Linked DNA regions of Saccharomyces cerevisiae S288C. The gene in region 1 interacts genetically with each later gene. Each region holds a gene or a part of one and is shown in the gene's direction. Other genes may lie near its edges. The genes, in order: SFL1, NRG1 and AIM39.

Region 1 (7,400 bases):
TCGTCATTGAAACTTGTCCTCTAGACCTTGGCGTATCTACTGTTAAGGTAGACCTCTCATTATACTGCCCAATAATAGGAAATAAACCATGAGGCCTATATTCCGATAATGGAAAATATTGAAATGCCAAGCCAAAGTCTATTTTCCCAATCAGGTCGTTATAATCTTGTAGGAAATTATTGACGGGCGCAAATGAATCAAAGACGAAAAATAAAGCCTCTGATGGGTTTGTTTCGTCTTCGGTATCAATGTCTCTTTCCAAAAGAGTATTCTTCGTGAGCTTCTTTTTAAATGAGACTTCTATGGCCATATGACCCTCTTCTGATGCAACGTTGTTAAATGTGTAAGGTAAATTCCTGATAAAGTCTCTAATTTGTGCCGATGTGGCCAAATTGGATTCGTCAGAAACACCCAATGAAATTGCGTAGGGTATTTTATTAGAAATCATTGGTTGGACAACTTTCATAATGCACGTTTGATAGTCGATAGTATTATGTGAGTCTAACAAATCACCTGTGATCACAACTAAATCAGGGTTTTCTGATGCGAGTACCCTATCAATAAAATTTACTGTTTTTATTTCATTGATTACGGTCATGCTATTATCCGTACATTTGAAATGAAAATCAGTTATTTGGAGAATTTTGAATGATCTTTGTCCCCTCGAAAATTGTATATGGGGAGATGTTATTTTGTAATCTGCATCGACTTGGATATTAATGTCTTTGCTGGGTGTTCTCAAAGAACCTAGCAATCCATTAGAAAATTTGTGATGATGGTTTTTGGTTTCAAGCTTTCTTGTAATTGATATGGGCAGAGAAGGTATGTTATTTCTATGAAATTCATGGATAACTTCTTTCCAAGAAGGCCTCGATTCAATAAACGATGATCCTAGATATATTTCCAAATTAGTTATAGGAGCGTCATTATCATCATCATTAAGGATATACTTACACCATATGCCGCTCCCCTTGTATACCCACTCCTCACCGAACACAGCTATGTTATCTGTATCAACGGATATGCCGAAAAGCAGCTTCCACCATGACGAAGTAGGCTTTTCTCGTAGATACACATGATTGTGAAAGACAGAACTGTCGCTCGATTTCACCAACTTATTAATGTCTCTCAGCACTTGTAGGGGTATTAGTGCTGAGTCCCTTGCTATGGCTAGTTCTTTTATTGTGTTTTTTGGATTACTTTGGAAATCTTTCAGATGAACATATAAGTAACTGTTGTAGAATGGTCCAGACTGAAGTGAATACAATGTCTCTACAGTAATATTCTTAGAAACTCTGGTCCACAGAATGCTGTTTTTGTCTTTGATCTTTTTAGCAGTATTGGAGGGGTGTAATTTCGGGGCATACAAAGAACTACATTGCCTGTACCAATGGTAGCACCGCAGGATTTGAATATCGTCTATCATTCCGCCATGATATTCTGCTACATTATGATCCATTAATACATTTTTTGCATGTAGCTTTAGTGAATCTCTCGATAAATACAATGAAGTAATGCATAATATAAAAAGTATTCTCCTTAAAAAATTAAATCTTCTTCTATAATGTAATCTCATGCAAATATTTGAAGGGTATTGTTTGCGAAGGTCAATGAATGTGATAAGAGCTAATTGTTGGAAAGTAAAATAATCGAAAGGAATGAGAAAAAGGTAAGTTATTTAAATCTCTTTTGGAAATGAAACTAAAGCAACTTGAAAGAAATTTCAAGAAATAATGAAAACCTCGAATTAATCGACAAATGAAGAGTACTGCAGAACCGAAATTGAAAAAAAAGGTCGTAAAGTTGAAATGAATTGAAGTCAGAATTAAAATAGAAGGGGTATTGTTGCGGCTAAAGTAAAATAAAGAAAGGAGAAGTTAGAAAAAGCAACTCAATGATCTTGTGTTCGAGGCTATATTATAATAAGTTTAGGACTTGGCATTATTTCAGATCAAAAGTATAAAAATTAAAACTGTCCTTTATCTGTCAACCTTTTTATTTTTGTTTGATCCTTAGAGTCTAATTTATGTCCGTAAATAGAAGTTTTCGGATTGCGGGCGCAGTTAGCCTCCAAGCGGAGTTTCTATAGTATTGAAAACGTAAACTAGTAACATATATGCGGTTCAAAATTACTAGAGAAAATGAGATCATAGTTTAAAGAGACATACGTTATTTATCTGGCGGAAAGTGTATAGAAATCTATCTAATTATCAGAATCGATGTCATCGTCATTGTCATTATCGTTACCATTGTTAATATTGTTGGTGGCTTGTTCAGGATCTCCCATACCATCGAAAAATTGCGAACGCAATGTTTTTAATGAATTTTGGTCATCCTCAGCAAATTTTAAGCACCCGCTATTGCTTTTCAACGCTTCCGCGACTACTTCTTCCGTGGGAATTTTACCCTCTTCACAGTATATGAACATCAGCGGAGTTTCACTTGCGTACTTCGTGCCATGCTTGATGGCTTCTTGAACGACAGAAGGCGACGAACATTTTTTCACCTTGAATTCTGTTCCCAACGTATTACTTTGTATCCATGACCATGCACCGTTTCTGCTTCTGATAAAGTATGAATATGGCGATAGTGCTGCCATTGTGAGGATGTAGGGATTTTCGATCAGTCCCAATTGCTTTGCAGTGTTGATTATGTGTGTCTCTGGATGTGAAAGGTTCCATTCTCCATGCAGTTTGGACGCCAAGTCCTTATATTCCTCCATTTTAGCGGCTCTCGCAGAATTTAATGTATCTTTCAACGATGCGATCTGCTTTGCTGCTTCATTATTAGCATCGTCAGGAATTGTTTGTAGATACGCCAGCGTCGACTCTAGAATAGTGGATATGTTTTTGCCTTGGTAACTCTTTAACTCGTTGATCTCTTGAAGCAAGCATCTGGATCTGGTCCGCGCTTGCTTTCGTTTAGAAATAATATGTCTTATTAGTTGGTCTTTGCACTGTTTGGTGTAAAGCTGTGGGTAAAACTCAAGCGGTATATCCACGCCATTGGGTAGAGACACTGATTCTGTATTTGTTTCTAGTTCATTGAACAGGATTGTTAATACGGGTGCCACCTCCTTCAAAGTATTCTCCGGTTCCACATATCTCGCCTCTTCTTGCTCGCCACCACGAATCACGTCTTCTTCTTCTTCCTCTTCTTCGGGGTACAATAAAACGTTGAACATTTTATATAGATTAGAATCGTACTCTTCAGGAAGAAAATGAAACAAGGACAAAAACGTCTCCATTGGAGGTTCATTCTTGTTCGGAGTATGCAAAGCAGAAGATATAAAGAGACTTCTTGTTTCCCGGTCTCTGATCCCAGGACACATTTCCAAATCCACTGCCAATGATTTGATAAACGCTGGGAGCACCTCATAAAGATGCTCGGAATCGGCCAGCTTGGACCTCAATTGCGGTTCCAAGGACGACGTAAACACCTTGGCCGAAACAAAGGCTCTTTCACACTTTCGCGTGTTAACCACGGAGATGAGTTTTTGCAACTGCCAGAGCAGATGCGGTTGCAACCCTTCATTAGGTCCGCTGGCCAGCACGATCTCCGACGTAGTGGAACCATCTTCTGCCTCGCAATATGCAAGTCTGTATTTGGGCTCCGTAAACGATGAGCCCTTGAACCAGTCTGCCCTATAGTTCAAATCCTTAAAGTCCGGTTTCAAGAACACGTGTGGGAAATACACGGCCGTGAGCAACGCAAACAGCCCAAAATAGCTCTCAATTAGACTATTCAAGGGTAGCGGCAACACAACCGTAGGATCGCCCACGTTCGACTTGAACTCGTTGTGTTGTACTATACTATAAGAGGGGGGAGGAATGGATGTCTCCGATATAGAATAACGATCGTAGTTCTGAGCAGTAACCCTGCATCCGCTGGTGCTATTAGAACCGCTGCGTTCATCCGTGATGTCTTCATCGTCATCATAATCAACATCGACACCACTCACATCCGGCATATCAATGTCTTGGTCCCCGTTGTTCGGAACATCGCAGGGCTTGGTTCCAGCCACTATTTTGTTCTCAGAAATCCTAGGCTGACTGCCATCATTCTCCTCACCCATTTCCGCTTGCTCCGGCAGCTCGTTCGAAAAGATGAAGTTAACTGCTGCCTCCAAATTACCGCCAGTTCTTTGGAGGGCGTCCACAGCTACTTCGTGTGGAATACCCATTTCTAGCAGTGACTTTACAGCCTGATTATCCATCATCGTAGCTTACTTAACAAAAATCAATTACTTAAGATTCCTTTTACAGGTGACGACTCTCCTTTTCCGGCTTCTTCTCTTCTTTCCTCTACTCCGACAGGTCCTTAAGCCTTGTAGTGAGAAGTACCTTTCAACAATAGTATCTTTTACTTCCGTGCCGGGTCGCCCGGACATCACCCGCCCGGCACAGATGCCTTGGCAGCAAGCGCATCCATCGCTGCATCTCCGCCGGAAAAACAGATGTTCAGTACATGAAAAGACGTTTTTATTCGACATAAACTTTTTCAGCTAGCAAGAAGGATCTCTTTTTAAACACTCTATACAGGTGCACACAAAGGGTTGTTGAAACAGAAACACAAACGCACGGCGAAATAATATTATTTATTCGACTTACGAATTTTTCAAAGAAGTCGTACTGGTGTGAAGTGGAAAGTTTCAAAGATAGTTTGAAAAGCAGGGAAAAAAGAACATAGTGAACCTTCATCGCCACAGTGACAGGTTCAAGGAAAAAATTCACACACACACACATACGCATACGCACACAAAGCACTCAGCTCTATATACATAACAAAGAATATTGTAATTCGACACTATTTGGTACATTCAGAGGGTCCTAAGACAGCACAAATCAGTTATATAGAAAAAAAGAAGAAAAAATCATGAGTGAAGAGGAAACGGTCTCAGCCCCAGCTCCAGCTTCTACACCGGCCCCGGCTGGAACCGATGTAGGTAGTGGTGGAGCAGCAGCTGGAATAGCTAATGCTGGTGCTGAAGGCGGCGACGGTGCCGAGGATGTTAAGAAACATGGGTCGAAGATGCTAGTGGGGCCCAGGCCGCCACAAAATGCGATATTCATCCATAAGCTATACCAGATTCTGGAGGACGAATCGCTACACGACTTGATATGGTGGACCCCTTCGGGCTTATCCTTCATGATTAAGCCTGTGGAACGGTTTAGTAAGGCTTTGGCTACATATTTCAAGCATACTAATATCACGAGCTTTGTAAGACAGTTGAACATTTACGGCTTTCACAAGGTGTCGCATGATCATAGCAGCAACGACGCTAATAGTGGCGACGACGCCAATACTAATGATGACAGCAATACTCACGATGATAATAGTGGCAACAAAAACAGTAGTGGCGACGAAAATACCGGTGGCGGTGTCCAAGAAAAGGAGAAAAGTAACCCCACTAAAATCTGGGAATTTAAGCATAGTTCTGGTATTTTCAAGAAAGGTGACATTGAGGGACTCAAACACATTAAGAGAAGAGCTTCTTCCCGTAATAACTCCTCAATTAACAGTCGAAAGAATTCTAGTAATCAAAACTACGATATAGATTCCGGTGCAAGAGTAAGACCCTCTTCGATTCAAGACCCGTCCACCAGTTCCAATTCCTTTGGTAATTTCGTTCCGCAAATTCCGGGCGCCAATAACTCTATCCCCGAGTACTTTAATAACTCTCATGTAACTTACGAAAACGCAAACCATGCCCCGCTGGAATCCAATAACCCGGAAATGCAAGAGCAAAACAGACCTCCGAACTTTCAAGATGAAACACTGAAACATTTGAAAGAAATAAATTTTGATATGGTTAAGATTATAGAGTCTATGCAGCATTTCATATCTTTGCAACACAGTTTTTGTTCACAGAGTTTCACCTTCAAGAATGTGAGCAAGAAAAAATCGGAAAATATCGTGAAGGATCACCAAAAGCAACTTCAGGCATTCGAAAGCGATATGTTAACTTTCAAACAGCACGTCATGTCGAGGGCCCACCGTACAATAGATTCTCTTTGTGCTGTAAATGCTGCCGCTACCGCTGCCTCTGTCGCCCCTGCACCCGCGCCCACATCCACATCTGCATATGCACCCAAATCTCAGTATGAGATGATGGTTCCTCCAGGGAACCAGTATGTCCCGCAGAAATCTTCCTCGACCACGAACATCCCTTCGAGATTCAACACGGCTTCAGTGCCGCCCTCGCAACTTTTTGTACAATACCAACCGCAGTCGCAACAACATGTGACTTATGCGAAGCAACCGGCACATGTACCAAACTTTATCAATCAGCCGATACCCATCCAACAACTACCTCCACAATATGCAGACACTTTTAGCACTCCACAAATGATGCACAATCCTTTTGCCTCGAAAAATAACAACAAACCGGGCAACACGAAGAGGACCAATAGTGTTCTCATGGACCCGCTGACTCCCGCAGCGAGTGTTGGAGTTCAGGGTCCACTAAACTATCCTATCATGAATATTAATCCTTCTGTCCGTGACTACAACAAGCCTGTCCCTCAAAATATGGCTCCGAGTCCAATATATCCTATTAATGAACCAACAACGAGATTGTATTCTCAACCAAAAATGAGAAGTCTCGGGTCTACAAGCTCTTTGCCCAACGATAGAAGAAACAGTCCTCTGAAGCTGACACCGAGATCATCGTTGAATGAAGATAGTCTGTATCCCAAACCTAGAAACTCTCTCAAATCCAGTATTTCGGGCACGTCTTTATCCTCCTCTTTTACACTAGTTGCCAACAATCCAGCCCCAATTCGGTACTCTCAGCAGGGATTGCTTCGCTCATTAAACAAAGCTGCTAATTGTGCTCCAGATTCGGTAACTCCATTAGACTCGTCTGTCTTGACGGGCCCTCCTCCAAAAAACATGGACAATCTTCCTGCTGTTTCTTCAAATTTAATAAACTCCCCCATGAACGTCGAGCACAGCTCAAGCCTATCACAAGCAGAACCTGCACCACAAATAGAACTACCGCAGCCATCTTTGCCCACAACGAGCACCACTAAGAATACTGGCGAGGCTGACAATAGTAAGAGAAAAGGGAGCGGTGTTTATTCTTTACTGAATCAAGAGGATAGCAGCACGTCCAGTGCTGATCCTAAAACTGAAGATAAGGCCGCTCCGGCACTCAAAAAGGTTAAGATGTGATCTTTGCCTTTTTAATCTCTAGTTGTCTAAAAGTTCAAAGCACCTCACTGTATGTTTATTACCTTTGTTCCAATTACTTTTGTTTCAATTACTTTTGTTTCATTTCATTTTAGGTATCCCAACGGGTAATCATTGTTATTTATTTTATTCACTTTTTTTTCTTTTCCTCCTGATCCTTGTGATTATAACTATATTTTTACCAACTCCGGTAGTTGTTTTATTAA
Region 2 (6,858 bases), on another chromosome or scaffold:
TCGTTTTGTCCTTCGTGTAACAATATGCTACTGATAACGAGTGGCGATAGTGGTGTATATACATTAGCATGCCGTTCATGTCCATATGAGTTTCCTATAGAGGGTATAGAAATCTATGATAGGAAGAAACTTCCAAGAAAGGAAGTTGATGATGTTCTTGGTGGTGGTTGGGACAATGTGGATCAAACCAAAACCCAATGTCCCAATTATGATACTTGTGGTGGTGAGAGTGCTTACTTTTTCCAACTACAAATTAGGTCAGCTGATGAGCCGATGACTACCTTTTATAAGTGTGTAAACTGTGGTCATAGATGGAAGGAAAATTAAGAAGTCCTTGAATATAAGATGAATTTTCTAAGAATAAAAAGAGTAATAAAAACATCTTAAAATTTGATTAGAAGGCATGATCGCATATTGAGAATGAAGGCTGCTGCCATATTTTTAGAGCAATAGATACTGATATAATTTTTGATCCTGCACGTACTGTGAACTTGCATCATAAATAGGACGCAATAATTAATATTTTTAAGAATAGAGATCCTGTATCAATTGAATTTGAAGAATTATGTAAAGGAGGTATAATAAATAGATAAAAAAATGTATAAATAAGTGGTCGAAATAATTAAATCATCATTGTCATTGAGATCATAAAATCGGTCTGCTAAAGAACCTTGAATTATTTAACCCACTCTCTTGGTTTGGTGGTAACTTCTAGTAATTTAGCTTCTCTGGAACCAGGAGCAGGGTGGTGGTTGTATAACCATGAAGCATGTTCAGGCAAACTCATCAAAATTGACTCAACTCTAGAGCCTGGGGTTCTCAAACCGAATTGGGTACCTCTATCGTAGATTAAGTTGAATTCAACGTATCTACCACGTCTAATGGCCTGCCATTGTTGTTCTTCCTTTGTATATGGCATATCTTTTCTTCTCTTGACGATAGTCAAGTAGGATGGCAAGAAAGCATCGAAACAGTCTTCAACCATCTTCAATATTTCTTGTGGGTCACGTTCATCATAATCGTCAAAGAATATACCACCAATACCACGTGTTTCCTTACGGTGGGTAATGTAGAAGTACTCATCACACCATTTCTTGAAACGTGGGTACAAAGCAGTGTCGTGCTTGTCCAAGGCATCCTTGTGCAGTTGGTGGAATAATTGACCGTCTTCTTCGTATAAGTAAGAAGGTGTCAAATCAGCACCACCACCAAACCACCAAGTTTGTGGGGTCCCATCTTGGTTCCAAGTTTCGAAGTAACGGTAGTTTAAGTGCGTGGTTGGAGCGTGTGGGTTAACGGGATGAATGACCATACTTAAACCACAAGCGAAGAACTTGACACCGTCGGTAACTGGCAAACCAGTCTTTGGATCTTCTGGTAGACGCAGATTCTTATGATCAGCTTTCATGGCTGAAACGGCCGCTGGGCTCAATTGACCATAAACAACGGAGACATTAACACCACCTTTTTCGAAAGTTGTACCGTCTTGGATAACCATAGAGGTACCACCACCACCATCGTTACCACGGGTCCAAGTATCAGCGTGGAACTTAACAGTATCGATGGATTCCAAACCTTGCGTGATTTCAGCTTGTTTGCGACGGATAAGAGCTTCCATTTGTTGTCTAATTGGAAGATTCCTTGGATCTTGAGGGGCAGGCATCTTTATGTGTATTTAATTGTGTTCGAAGAGTTCGGTTTGCTATGTTTGATTTGCGAAAAGAAAGCTTTTGATATGCTCAAAAAAAGAAAACCCGGAGAATAAAAGCTTAACAAAGAAAGACAATAGGTGGAAAAAAAAAGGAAAATCCGTGTCCTTATATAGCCTTTCGAAACGAGAACAATGGGCAAAGCAAGCTTTATCTTCGGATCGTCCGTCAGCGCTTTGGTTGCAGTCTTATGCTTTGTTCAAGCTGGAGCGTTATTGGTGGGAGAACCAGAAAAGGCGAAAGCGTAGCGTTCTTTGAAATTTGGCTTCTGTTCCTGCGACTCGTTTAAAAGTAGAAGGGCCCGCGGAGCCGCTGTGAAAGATTTCTTTTACTCTTTCAGCGCAGAAATCTCGCAGGAGCTCAGCAGAAAGTGCCTATGACGGTAATCCCAGGGGCTAATGGTGTGAAGGCACTTTCTAAACAATTGAAATTAAAATACCGTGCCTATAGTAACTTTTTTTTACGCTGTGAACCGTTCAACACACAGTAAAAACTCCGCAGGAAATGGTTTGAAGAATCTTAATCACGAATTAGGCGTATTGTTTTTCCCAACAGTGAACGAGAGGACAAACTCCAGAGGATTTGCGGGCTTGATGATAAAATGTATTGTTGAAAAGATCGCGAATGCAACAATTACGGTGGGGAGAAATATCAACAAAAGGGCAAGGCTATGCCTTCTGGAAAGTGGCAGACTTGCACTTTCCTCGAAAAGAAAAATGACCGCAAGATCCGGTTGTTCTCAACCTTCTACATTAAGACATACTTCTACGATTTTCGAATGCCGAAGCAACTATCGCTGAAATTTGTCATGTCAAAATTGCTACTGGGGGAGAAGAATATATATGGAAGTAATTATTATTTACGTTGCTGAAATGGCAGGTTAGACGCATGTTTTGCAAAATAAGTGGTTTTGAAAAGAATTGATACTAGGAATCGGTGCAATACCTTCTACCTTTCTTAATAGGTATTCTTGAATAATCTACCTCACTTTCTGTCCCAGATACGAGATGTCGAGCGCCTCGAAAATAGATATCGTTTATTACGTTAGATACGGAAAGGTCTACGTGTCATAATAAATTGCATCTGGATTGCGATTTTGGGTCATGCCTAACTGGGAAAATATTTACATCTCCATGTTCTCATTCTGCCTTTGCTTTCCTTCAAAACATGGTTTTCAATTCAACCTAGGGTCTACCGCGGAACCATATGTACGCCGTAAATGCGAGTGTTCTTGAAAGGTAGTAATGTGTTCCCTCTCAATATGTAAGTCCTTCAAGAGTATGCACTTGCAGTTGCACTGTTTCGGGTAATTATCCGTCATTAAGAAAAAGATGCTTCCACTTTCTCGTGTTTTTACGCACAATCGTGCCATTTAACCGGAAATAGACTCCATTGCATTGATTGCTCTCATAAAAATTATAGCCCGCGTTTGATACTTGTTTAAAATAGGTGTCGACAAAGTTAGTTTCTGTCTTCCATTTAGTTTTTACAATATGACACGTCAAATAAATCTTTTCGATTTAGTTAAAAGAGTTACCTGGCGATAGCCTTCTGGTAAAACACCTATTCATAAAACAATCTTAAAAAACCAAAAAATTACCAAACAACTATGTAGGACATATTTTTACAGTTCATAAAAACGCTTCGAGCTGCCGATATCGGTATCAAACACCAAAATATACATAGTGCTGGTTTAAGCCAGAATATCTTGGTGAAGCTGCGCCTATATGCCTTGTATTTAAAACAAGTCACGAAAAGCTATTGCCAAAGGAACATAAAAACTCGTATCTATGTTATATTATAAAAAAGATATAATATTTATATATTATTATTAATATTATTTTTTAGTTCCGAAAGGAGAAACTTATAATTTTTATATCATTATTTATTATTATTTTTAATTTCAACTCCTTTTATACCTATTACTGCATGTGGAGAAAAGATTAAACCAGGCGAGGCAATTTACACTTATTCATTGAGATAAGATGAAAGAGCCACGCCTCGTTACATTTAGGCTACATCATATAACAACTAGTCCCAGCCTCCCCCCTTCCCCACCTTGGAGTACTTTTCTCCAGAAATAGAAAGCTAAGAATCAAAATCGCACCATTACGTATGAGCTCATTTGCCGTCTTTTCCCCGACAATCCGGCACAAAATCTGGCTACCCGTCGTATGTATGGTAGACGATATTATGTACTCTAGTAATGCTATGTACGAATAGTTTCAGACGGGCACAGGGACCTAGAACGCCAAGCGCAAAAAAAAGCTGATAGGAATTCGACGTCACGAACCCTTGGAGTAAAAGAAAACTAAAATATACGAACTTCGCGGAAAATAAAAAACTTTTCCTTCAGTTGTTCCTCGTTCGAAACAGTAATCTACACGGACCGTTGCTTATTTTTAGCCAGATTCTAGTTAAATAAAAAAAAAAGAAATAAAATTAAAAAAAAATTAAACTGTGGCAGATAAGCCTTTCTAATCGAGGCAGTGTGTTTCTTTTGACTTCACCGTTTGTCTTCGCATAGTTCCCCTAAATATTCTAACTAGAAAAATCGCTAGTATTTTTCTACTTATAAGTTGATTTTCCGCATATTTGTCTTTGAAACGTTTGAGACAGGGAAAACTCTGTTTTCTAAAAGAGGAAAAAGCAAAATGAAGTATTGGCTTGGTTGCGGTCAACACCCTCAGGGAAAGCCAAGAAATGCTTTTTACTGTTTAGCAGTGAAAAGGCCGCACCGGAAAAGAAGGGAAAAATTCATTGGGTCTAGATTTTTCTTATCGGTAAAAGACTATGGCCTCTTGAGGACCCTTAAGCGTGAAACGAAACGCGTTGAGCGCGCAGAGGGGCTTCGCCGCCGGTCAGGGTGTTTGGGGTGTTTTTTCTTTTAATTATTCTCTTGGCAGTGTCATCTTTCTACAGTCTGGCTGCAGGCTCCTTTTCCGTTATTCATATATAAGGAAGAGAACTTTCCAAACCCAAATTAAAAAAAATTTGGTTCCCATCTCTTAACTAAAAGAAATTATATTACTCCACCTCGTTTACAGTTTTTTGATGCTATAAGGGAATTCTGCAGCTTTTGAAAGTAAAAATCATATCGTATACGATTCTGCAAAGTATTATTGTACTGTAATTCCTACCATTACGGCGCCTTTTTCTACCATTCACCTTTCTTGGATTGTTCCTCTCGACCAGCATATTACTACCCTTCGCAAACTTTCAGGCAATGTTTTACCCATATAACTATAGTAACCTCAATGTTTCTACTATGCCCGCACTGCCGGGAATCTCCGCATTTGATGGAATGCAAGATGAAGAAAACGTTGAAATAAGCCCGGAAAGAAAATATCAGACGCTACTACCAGTTCTAACTAATTCTCATGTGGTAGAGAATGAACTAAAACACAAATTAAATAAGACTGCTTTTGATTTCCGATACCAAACCAAATCAGAAAATGGCTCTGAAAAGTGGGAGCCAAAATACTTAATAACGCCTAATTTACAAACAAGAAGCGTCTCTTTTGACAATTCATCGGTACAATATAATTCAGATTCATCCGAAAAAAGCTCGCTATCACAACTAACTTGTAATTCATCAATAATACAACAGCCTGAGAACGGAATAGTTTCTAATGATGCATATAATAAGATGGCAAATAGTAGATACTCTCTGAAAACGCGGAAGCAAAGAACAGATCCAAGAAATACGTTATCAGATGAGGAAGACCTTGAACAAAGGCGCAAATACATTTGCAAAATTTGCGCAAGAGGATTCACTACATCGGGTCATTTAGCAAGGCATAATAGAATTCATACGGGCGAAAAAAATCATTGTTGTCCGTATAAGGGATGCACGCAGCGATTCAGTCGACATGATAATTGCTTGCAACACTATAGAACACATTTGAAAAAGGGACAATAATTGACGGTATACCCGTGTTTTTCTCATTAGCAGTACTACTATTCCGCACTTTACATCATTTTTTATAAACTCATGCATACATACATTGTACTTCAAAAGATTTTTTTTTTTTTTTGGCATCATAAATCACTTTCAGATCAGTTTCCTTTCAAACGCGCGGCATTAAGAAAACTTTTAATGTCAAAAAAACGGAAGCAAAAACCCCTCCCTTCCGCTTAAGATCATGTCTGGACATTTTAGTTGTAAGGCTGCGCCTCGGTAGCAAGTAGTGCTGCAACAAGGCTATTATGCCACCTAAACAGACCACTTTTGCTTAATACGAGACTGTGACTACCTCCTGACTTCCTGTCATAACAAAAAAACAGACGTCGCTGCATTAACATTTACAACCCCAAACCTTCTTCATTCATTGCTTTTCTTTTAGAAACTGTGGCTTTTTGACATTTGCAGTTTGCATAGTTACTTTTTGATCACTAACAACGATATATTATCGTTGAACAATTTACTACGCAAAACAGTTCACGTGATGTACGTCAGATAATTCACTGAAGGTACTACCTTTCGAGCATCTCTTACAGCAATGGTAACAGCTCATTGAAGAAGAAAAAAATAAGACAAATTTTTTTAGAGCTGCAAGCGTTTTACTAGGCATCAGAACTGTCTCCGAACAATAGTATAGTTAATTATTATACTTCAACCCTAGAAGAAATACCCGAAGATGTAAGGATGTTTTTGTTCCTATAAGCTTTTTTTTTTCACAAAATTTTCATCCACTCTACGTCTTCCATACGGTCATATAAAAGGTGCCATATCCTCGGCCAAGACAAAAGGCTTCAGCTCCATATCTTTTGAAATCATGTAAACGCATGGGGCTCAAGTACTGAGCAAAGTAGGAGAAAGGATATTGAACATGTTCAGAAGAACGTGGTATCTTTTTCCTTATTATACATTCTCTTGGCGAGTGATCGAAAATATATATGATGATATCCTATAACAACAACAACATGAATTTCTTCGTCCGAATCCTTTATAGGTGGAAACAAACTTTGACAATAGCTTTTTAACACTGATAATATATTTTCGCGTCATTCTTGCTGATTTTCTTTTTTCTTATTCTTATTGTGCTTCATCCTCCATCTTCAATGGCGGTAACGTAAATCAGAGTAGCTTTCATTTTCTTTATTTCTGTTTCTGTTTCGCGTCGGGATAACAAAGCGTACTTACTAA
Region 3 (7,239 bases), 360 kb from region 1:
CCCGGAATCGAACCGGGGGCCCAACGATGGCAACGTTGGATTTTACCACTAAACCACTTGCGCTGAATTTCTTGATGGTATTACATCTCAGGATAGCATACCTCAGTATGACAATACATCATCTCGTAAACGCTCATATGAAACAACCTTATAACAAAACGAATAGAATGAGCAACATGAGATAAAACTCCGCCTCCCGTAGTTGAACCACCCAAACGTATAAATCCCTGAACAATTAGTTTAGATCTGAGATTCCTCGCTTTCATCATTTAGTGTAATTCATATTTTATATGATATATAGAATAAGCAACATCCCATGAATCAAGCTGATAATCCGTTTTGGCAACTGATTACTTCCCAAAGACTCCTTATATTAGGATTGTCTAGACACCCCGGTATTACTCGAGCCCTAATACAACAGTAAAAGTTTGTAAATATATAGAATTAATTGGTCACAATTGTTTGATGCTCCCCTTTCAATTAACGAATATCTATTGACTGGTATTTATATTACTATTATATTATCATATAAGACGTGACAAGATGACATAAAGACTAAGAAACAGTCATTAGATTCATATGAAAGCTAAATGCAAGGATAAATATTGTAATAAGATAATAAGGGCCTGCACATAAAAATGGGAAGAATAAAAAGAATAGTAATAATAATAATGATGATGACGATGATGATGATGATGATGATGATGATGATGATGATTATGATTACAATGTATTTGATAATATACTAGTATCACGAATATTACTAAATGGATGACACTCTAGAGTTTCATCTGAATAATTACCAAATTATTCACCTATCTCTTAGTAGTATACCTATTTTTTCGTTTAATTAGTGTCCTTATTGGCTTTAAAGTAATTAATGCAGATGGTTCATGGCATACAAAAAATACTTTGTTTCGTTTGTTTTTTTTTTCTTTTTGTTATGATTTTATTAGCCTAATAATGTCCTAGAGTTAACAAATGTAAATTGTAAGAGGATACATTACATCTACAAAAATTAAAACCAGTTAACTCTCTATCCTCATCCTTTTAATTTTGTTGAATAAGAGGCAACCATAAAGGTTAAGAAATAGCATCAGATGTAATGGAAGCTGAAAAATGCAATGATTGATTATTCAATAATAGTGAATAACGGCGTGTAAATGAATAAGAAATGGTAATAATAATACTGATGCCTTTTTATGGATTCCTATATCCTTGTGGAAAACCTCTTGAATACTGGGTGAATAATTTGATAATTGTTGTCATTCCATTGTTGGTGAAGGCTATAATATTATGTATACAGATTATAATAGAAATTTTCCTCGAGGATATAGGAATCCTCAAAAAGGAATCTATATTTCTACATACTAATATTACGAATATTCCCAATTCCGTTTTATACATTTCATTATCCTATTACATTATTAGTCCTTGCATTTCGCTTCAATCAATCTAACTGTTTCCCAATCTTTATGTTATCTTCTTACACTGCATGTGATAATATACTAGTAACACGAATACTACTAAAAAGATGATATTTTAAAGTTTCATTCCAACACCTCTAACATGTTCTATATACCTAATATTAAACCTTTATTAATAATGGAATCTCAACAATTGTCTCAAAATTCTCCCATTTCTCACAATCTTGTGCATTGAGAACTGTGCATCATTAAGTTTCTAAAATTTAGATCTTTCATAAAATATTAGACTCCATGGCCAAGTTGGTTAAGGCGTGCGACTGTTAATCGCAAGATCGTGAGTTCAACCCTCACTGGGGTCGTTATTTTTGAATACCCAATACTTTTTTTTCGGGCCATTTCACACAATGGCGTTTTTTATCCTATGTCCACTACAATTTAGATGAGCTCTCTTCTAGCATACAACTGCGATGAGGAATTTGATAATATTCTATTTTAAGCATTAAGTTTTCAGAAAACGAACGATCGCGTTTTTTCTCAGACAGAAAGTTTTAATATATTGATAAGAATAATGGGCGACGAATTACACAACCGTTTACTTCACCAAAACGATGGCACCAAGGACGCCATACTTTATAAGATAATAGAATCGTTAGTTTGCTCCATCTGCCACGATTATATGTTTGTACCGATGATGACACCTTGTGGTCATAATTATTGCTATGGTTGTCTGAACACCTGGTTTGCCAGCAATACTCAAAAAGAATTGGCTTGTCCGCAGTGCAGATCTGATATTACCACCATTCCCGCATTGAATACAACGTTGCAACAGTATCTATCATTCATTTTAGAGAAATTAAGGGACCAGAATGATGAATCTTTTAAAAAACTTTTAACAACTAAAACCAAGGAGGAAAATGATTACAAGAATGACAAGGAAAAGGACACATTGTTTGACAAAGTATTTAAGAATAGCGCATTGGCAGTGGCCGACGACTCGGATGATGGTATCACACGTTGTAGTAATTGTCATTGGGAATTAGACCCAGACGAAGTAGAGGACGGAAATGTTTGTCCCCACTGCAATGCCAGAATACGGAATTACGCAGGTGGTCGCGACGAATTTGATGAAGAAGAATACAGTGAAGGAGAGTTGGATGAAATCCGGGAAAGCATGCGTAGGCGTAGAGAGAATCGATTTGCGTCTACCAATCCGTTTGCTAATAGAGATGATGTAAGTTCTGAAGACGATGATAGCAGTGAAGAGGAGCCCATGCGAGAACATATCCCACTAGGCCGTTGGGCCAGGTCACATAATCGTAGTATTGCTGTGGATGCTGTGGATGATGAAGACGACGAAGAAGAGGATGAGGAAGAAGAAGAGGAGATGGATTCCGATTTGAAAGATTTTATAGAGGATGATGAAGATGACGAAGATGAAGATGGAAGTAGGAGGAATTTGGTATTGTCTGCACTCAAGAACAGACATGTAATTATTACTGATGATGAGGAAGAGGAGCAACGGCGACATGCTACAGAAGAGGAAGATCGCGATAGTGACTTTTACGAGCATAATGATGATGGTTTTGTAAGTGGTGATAGCCTTGATGAGGATCAGAAGGAGGTTACACGGATACAATCGAGTTCTGATTCCGAAGATCGTTCACTTTCGTATTCCGGCTCCAGCGATGTCAAGGATAACAATGACGATAACACGGAAGAATTAGATGACCCACAACCGAAAAGGCAGAAACGCTTCCGTGTAGTTCTAGGAGACAGTGACGATGAATAATCTGAACATTTTAACTAGCGGGAACGGCATATGTACGGAACTTTTATGTATGTTTTTAAAAAATTTCCTTTCTATCCTTATTACATTAAGATTTTTAAGCGATAGTAGGATCGGAAATATAAGCACTCGTTTATGATATAAATAGGTCAAGAATTTCGTAAAGTAAAATCAATACATATGTGAATCTTTTTTTTTTTTTTTTTGGGACTGCTATTGGTATTTTTTTAGCGTCACGTTAATCAGCCCAATTATGTGGGGGTTATGCAAGAAGCATTTTCCGAGCAATAAAATTCAAGTGCAGGAGAGAAACAAAGCATTAAAACCAAAGAAGAGTGGCAGCGAACATAAGACAAAGCAACTGTTTCCTGTATTCAATTGCAAGAAGAAGGAAAAAGGGGTAATGATACGGTTTGCGATTCTACGTAATGCTAACACATCTCTACTGTCCGCGAGAAGTATATGCTTATTTACCCAGGCGCCTACCTATTGTCATGTAAGGTTGAATACCTTGAATAAAAGCATTACAACTAAAAGAAATTCATTGACAGAGTCGAAAAGGCATGTCCATGATGGCAAGCATTTTTTTACGACGCCACATCAACAGCAACAGACGAAGTTGGGGGAAATTGAAGAGGGACACAGTCCTAACATAAAAGGAGAGGACTTGAGAAGCATTGGTCAAGCAATAACACATCAGCGAAACAAGCGCCGAAAGCAAATATGGTCCGCCATATTTGGTGGTATATTCGGTGTGATATTAGGATACTCACTAATCTATAGAGTGATATATTTAAAGGAACAAAGTTTCTTACCATTGTTTCCATCATCCAAGATACGTAAACTGAGTACCAGAGATTTGAAAAAGGTTGACGTAAACCAAGTACAGAAGCTTTCTAAATTAAGGGTTTTAGAGATATTATCCGGTCATGACATGATCAAGGAACAATACGGAGTACCATTGCTTGATAAAGATGGCAATTCACCCACGTTAAATGAATTCAGCATGTGGTGCGAAGATCAAGATCCATGTGTAACTGGTATTGTAATGGAGCCAGACGATAAAAGGGATAGTTCGCACACTTGGTATAGAATACCCTTTGTTTGCAAATGGAGGATAACGCATCGGCCAATAAGTATACGGGGAACCATCGACGATTTACTGAACCGCATTGGTTTGGAAACAGCCGATTTATTTGAGATTATATCGCCGGAGAGGGTATACGGGTCGTTCAAGTACGAATACCCACTGCAGGGGGACTCACATGCATTACACCTTTGGTTTCATGGCGAAATCGAACTGGACGATGATTCTTTGATTGTATATAATGGAAAATACCACGTTGATGTTAAATTGCAAGAAATCGACCTCTTCAGACGTGAAAAGAACGGACAACTAATACAGTACGTTCTATACAAAAACGAAGCGGGCGACAAGTAAGAAAAATGTAAATATTTTTATCACAATTATGATTATTATCGTTATTAAACTACTTATTTTCGGTTACGTAGATGAAATAGTGTTATATAAGAATATTTGAGAAAGTAAAACTGATAAATAAATATAATGGAATGAAAAAATAGAGACGAACTGGAAGAAGAGAAAAAAAATTAAAGCACCAAATTTACTACTCTGGGGCCTATAGATGGAATATCAAAGGGGAAGATGAGAAAAGAAATTATACATTTCAGAAACGTCAATAGGGTATCATCATCGTGGCAGTAAGCGGCGTTTTTCCTAAATCAAAAAGGCCAAAGCACCACCAACAGCAGCACCGACGACTCCGGCGTTTAGTAGTTGACCATTTTGAGCGTGCAAAGCAGGAGCAGCGTTACTCGTGGTGTTGGATGCGTTTTGAGCATTTACGCTAGTAGCGAGGCCGAAGACAGAGATGGCAGAAATGAAAACTTGTGATACTTTCATGTTTAAATCGATATTAAATTAGCGTGCTTGCTTGGAGGGCTTTTCAGAATGAAAAAAAAAAGAATGAAGAAAGAATTAACCAAAGAATGGAGGTTATGTGTAAGAAATGGCATTTATATATACATTTATATAAAAATGTATAAACATACTTGCATTATTGATGTCCCATAAGGGGTGAGAAAAGACAAAAATGGAAACAGGGGAAAAGAAGAAGAGTAAAAAAAGGATTATTTTAGGAGAGAAAGGGGATTAGAAGAACATCGGGCATAAACCTTTGAGCATCATCCTTTATTGATGTTTGACACCTTGCGATTGATGAAAAATATTGATGATATTAAGGTATTTCTGATAGCCACTGCCCCGTCCCTTGAAGCGGCCTTCCGTCGAGGCCTTGGCAACCGTGTCTGGGTGTGTGATATATTACATCAGAGGAAATAAAAGCTTGAGCGGCTAAACTCCCTTAGCTCAGGGGTGGTCTGGCCAGGAATTTTCAGTGGCCATTTTTCCTGTTCCGGGTCCGGCCAATCTGTGCCGGTTTTCTCTAGAGGAAAAAAAAAAGCATGCGGGGTAATGATGTAGAAGATATACAAGCGGGTTAAACTACATTAGTTATGAGTGCTAGAAAGCAAGCGAAGGATAATAGAAGAGGGCTATTCTATGTAAGTATGAGGAGACACAAATGGCGGCTTTTCATATTTTCTTCTGCAATTTCATATAGAAAAGGTGGTAGTCGTCCAGATCATAAACAATTTTGTCTAACTTGATGTAGTCGGGCAGTGACTCGTTGATGCTTAGTAGTTTTTGGAAGGATTGGTTCTGATAATTTTTGGTAAAAAAGGTCATCGAGAACTCTCTTGGTTGAAAAACGTTCAGAATATGTAGAAGAACGTCCAAGTTGTCTTGCTTCCCTTGGGAAATGTCAAATACGGGTATGTTACTTTCGAAAGAGGCGTAAGACCAACCCTTTTCCGGAGTCACGTGCAGGGTGTAATAGTATTTTTCAGCGAGAATCATATTGGATGAGTATCCACATGGCGTGAACGCAAATGCATCGTGGTGAAATGATAAATCGGAGTCTTGGGCCGAGTTGACATATATTTCGTCAAGCCTTGTATTTTTAGTCATTTGGTAGCCGAGGTTGTGGCCCTTATCTTCGTTTGGCTCCACGAGAGCGGTTGTGGATGCCTCAGGCCCGCAAACAAACTTACTAGCGCATTCTGGGTCCAGCTCCGTCATCAGTACTTCGAAAGTTTCGTCGTCATCCTCGATGTACTCCTTTCCCTTAGGTGTGGAGCGGTCCGTCTCGGTGACGTACAGGTTCCAGTGGTTGCTCTTGTCATTTCTTCCCACGGAATAACTTTTACCATTGTCGAAAAATTTGTTCAAATAGTCGACTTCGTCAGCCCAGTTTTGATGGATAGCGGCTTGCTTACAGGGGAAAAGGAAACATCGTCTAGAATAAAACACTTTAAATGGTTTGTACTTGCCCCCTTGTGTTGTGCGGAAAGCCCACGATAACTCTTGCTCAACGATCTGGAAAAGCTTTTCGAGACAGAACAATGTGGTTGTAGTACCGCACGTCTTCATCGTCAATTTGTGATCGAAGACGAAGAGGGAAGACTCACTCAACAAAAAGGCATCCAGTTCTTTAGTCTTCTTCATGGAAAGAACTTCGCATTTCACTAATTTCAAAATCTCGATCCATCTATCCATGCCAATATTTCTTAATGTCTTTTCGGTCGTGATGGACTTCTTGTGAGGGAAGAACCAGATTTCCAGCAACTTCTCGGGACCCTCGAACGCATCCGTTGAGTCTAAAGTGGCTGATAGTTCGTGGTCAATGTAGTTGTGGTTAGTCAATTCTTTTATGGTGACAGTCATTCTATGGTCCGCCTATTTGCGTAAGACACTATATGAAAACCTAAAAAATATAAAAAAGAAGCTACAGTACAGTAATTGATTAACCTGGAAGAAAAAAAAGAAAAAAAGAGTTGATGCAAGGAGCGAGCTGTAGCGAATACAATATATACACGTATAGATATGCAGAGATGCTTTTAGTCGATTAGCAAAGTTTATTCGATGCCTAAATACCGGAGAACCGT

The links.
Region 2: mutations in SFL1 (region 1) and NRG1 together harm fitness more than expected from each alone (negative genetic interaction), as found in Saccharomyces cerevisiae (2 studies listed by BioGRID).
Region 3: mutations in SFL1 (region 1) and AIM39 together harm fitness more than expected from each alone (negative genetic interaction), as found in Saccharomyces cerevisiae (2 studies listed by BioGRID).

The regions. Positions count from the first base shown.
Region 1 is NC_001147.6:582,106-589,505, forward strand, and holds SFL1 (Sfl1p), read left to right. Parts: upstream 1-4,875; coding exon 4,876-7,176; downstream 7,177-7,400. Other genes in the region: SIA1 (Sia1p), read right to left, coding at 1-1,576; RUP1 (Rup1p), read right to left, coding at 2,204-4,219. UniProt on the Saccharomyces cerevisiae protein: Involved in cell surface assembly and regulation of the gene related to flocculation (asexual cell aggregation). Mutations in SFL1 causes constitutive cell aggregation.
Region 2 is NC_001136.10:541,447-548,304, reverse strand, and holds NRG1 (transcriptional regulator NRG1), read left to right. Parts: upstream 1-4,935; coding exon 4,936-5,631; downstream 5,632-6,858. Other genes in the region: DNA-directed RNA polymerase III core subunit RPC11, read left to right, coding at 1-327; HEM13 (coproporphyrinogen oxidase), read right to left, coding at 677-1,663. UniProt on the Saccharomyces cerevisiae protein: Transcriptional repressor involved in regulation of glucose repression. Binds to UAS-1 in the STA1 promoter.
Region 3 is NC_001147.6:226,619-233,857, forward strand, and holds AIM39 (Aim39p), read left to right. Parts: upstream 1-3,466; coding exon 3,467-4,654; downstream 4,655-7,239. Other genes in the region: ubiquitin-protein ligase PSH1, read left to right, coding at 1,996-3,216; DDR2 (Ddr2p), read right to left, coding at 4,952-5,137; adenosylmethionine decarboxylase SPE2, read right to left, coding at 5,828-7,018.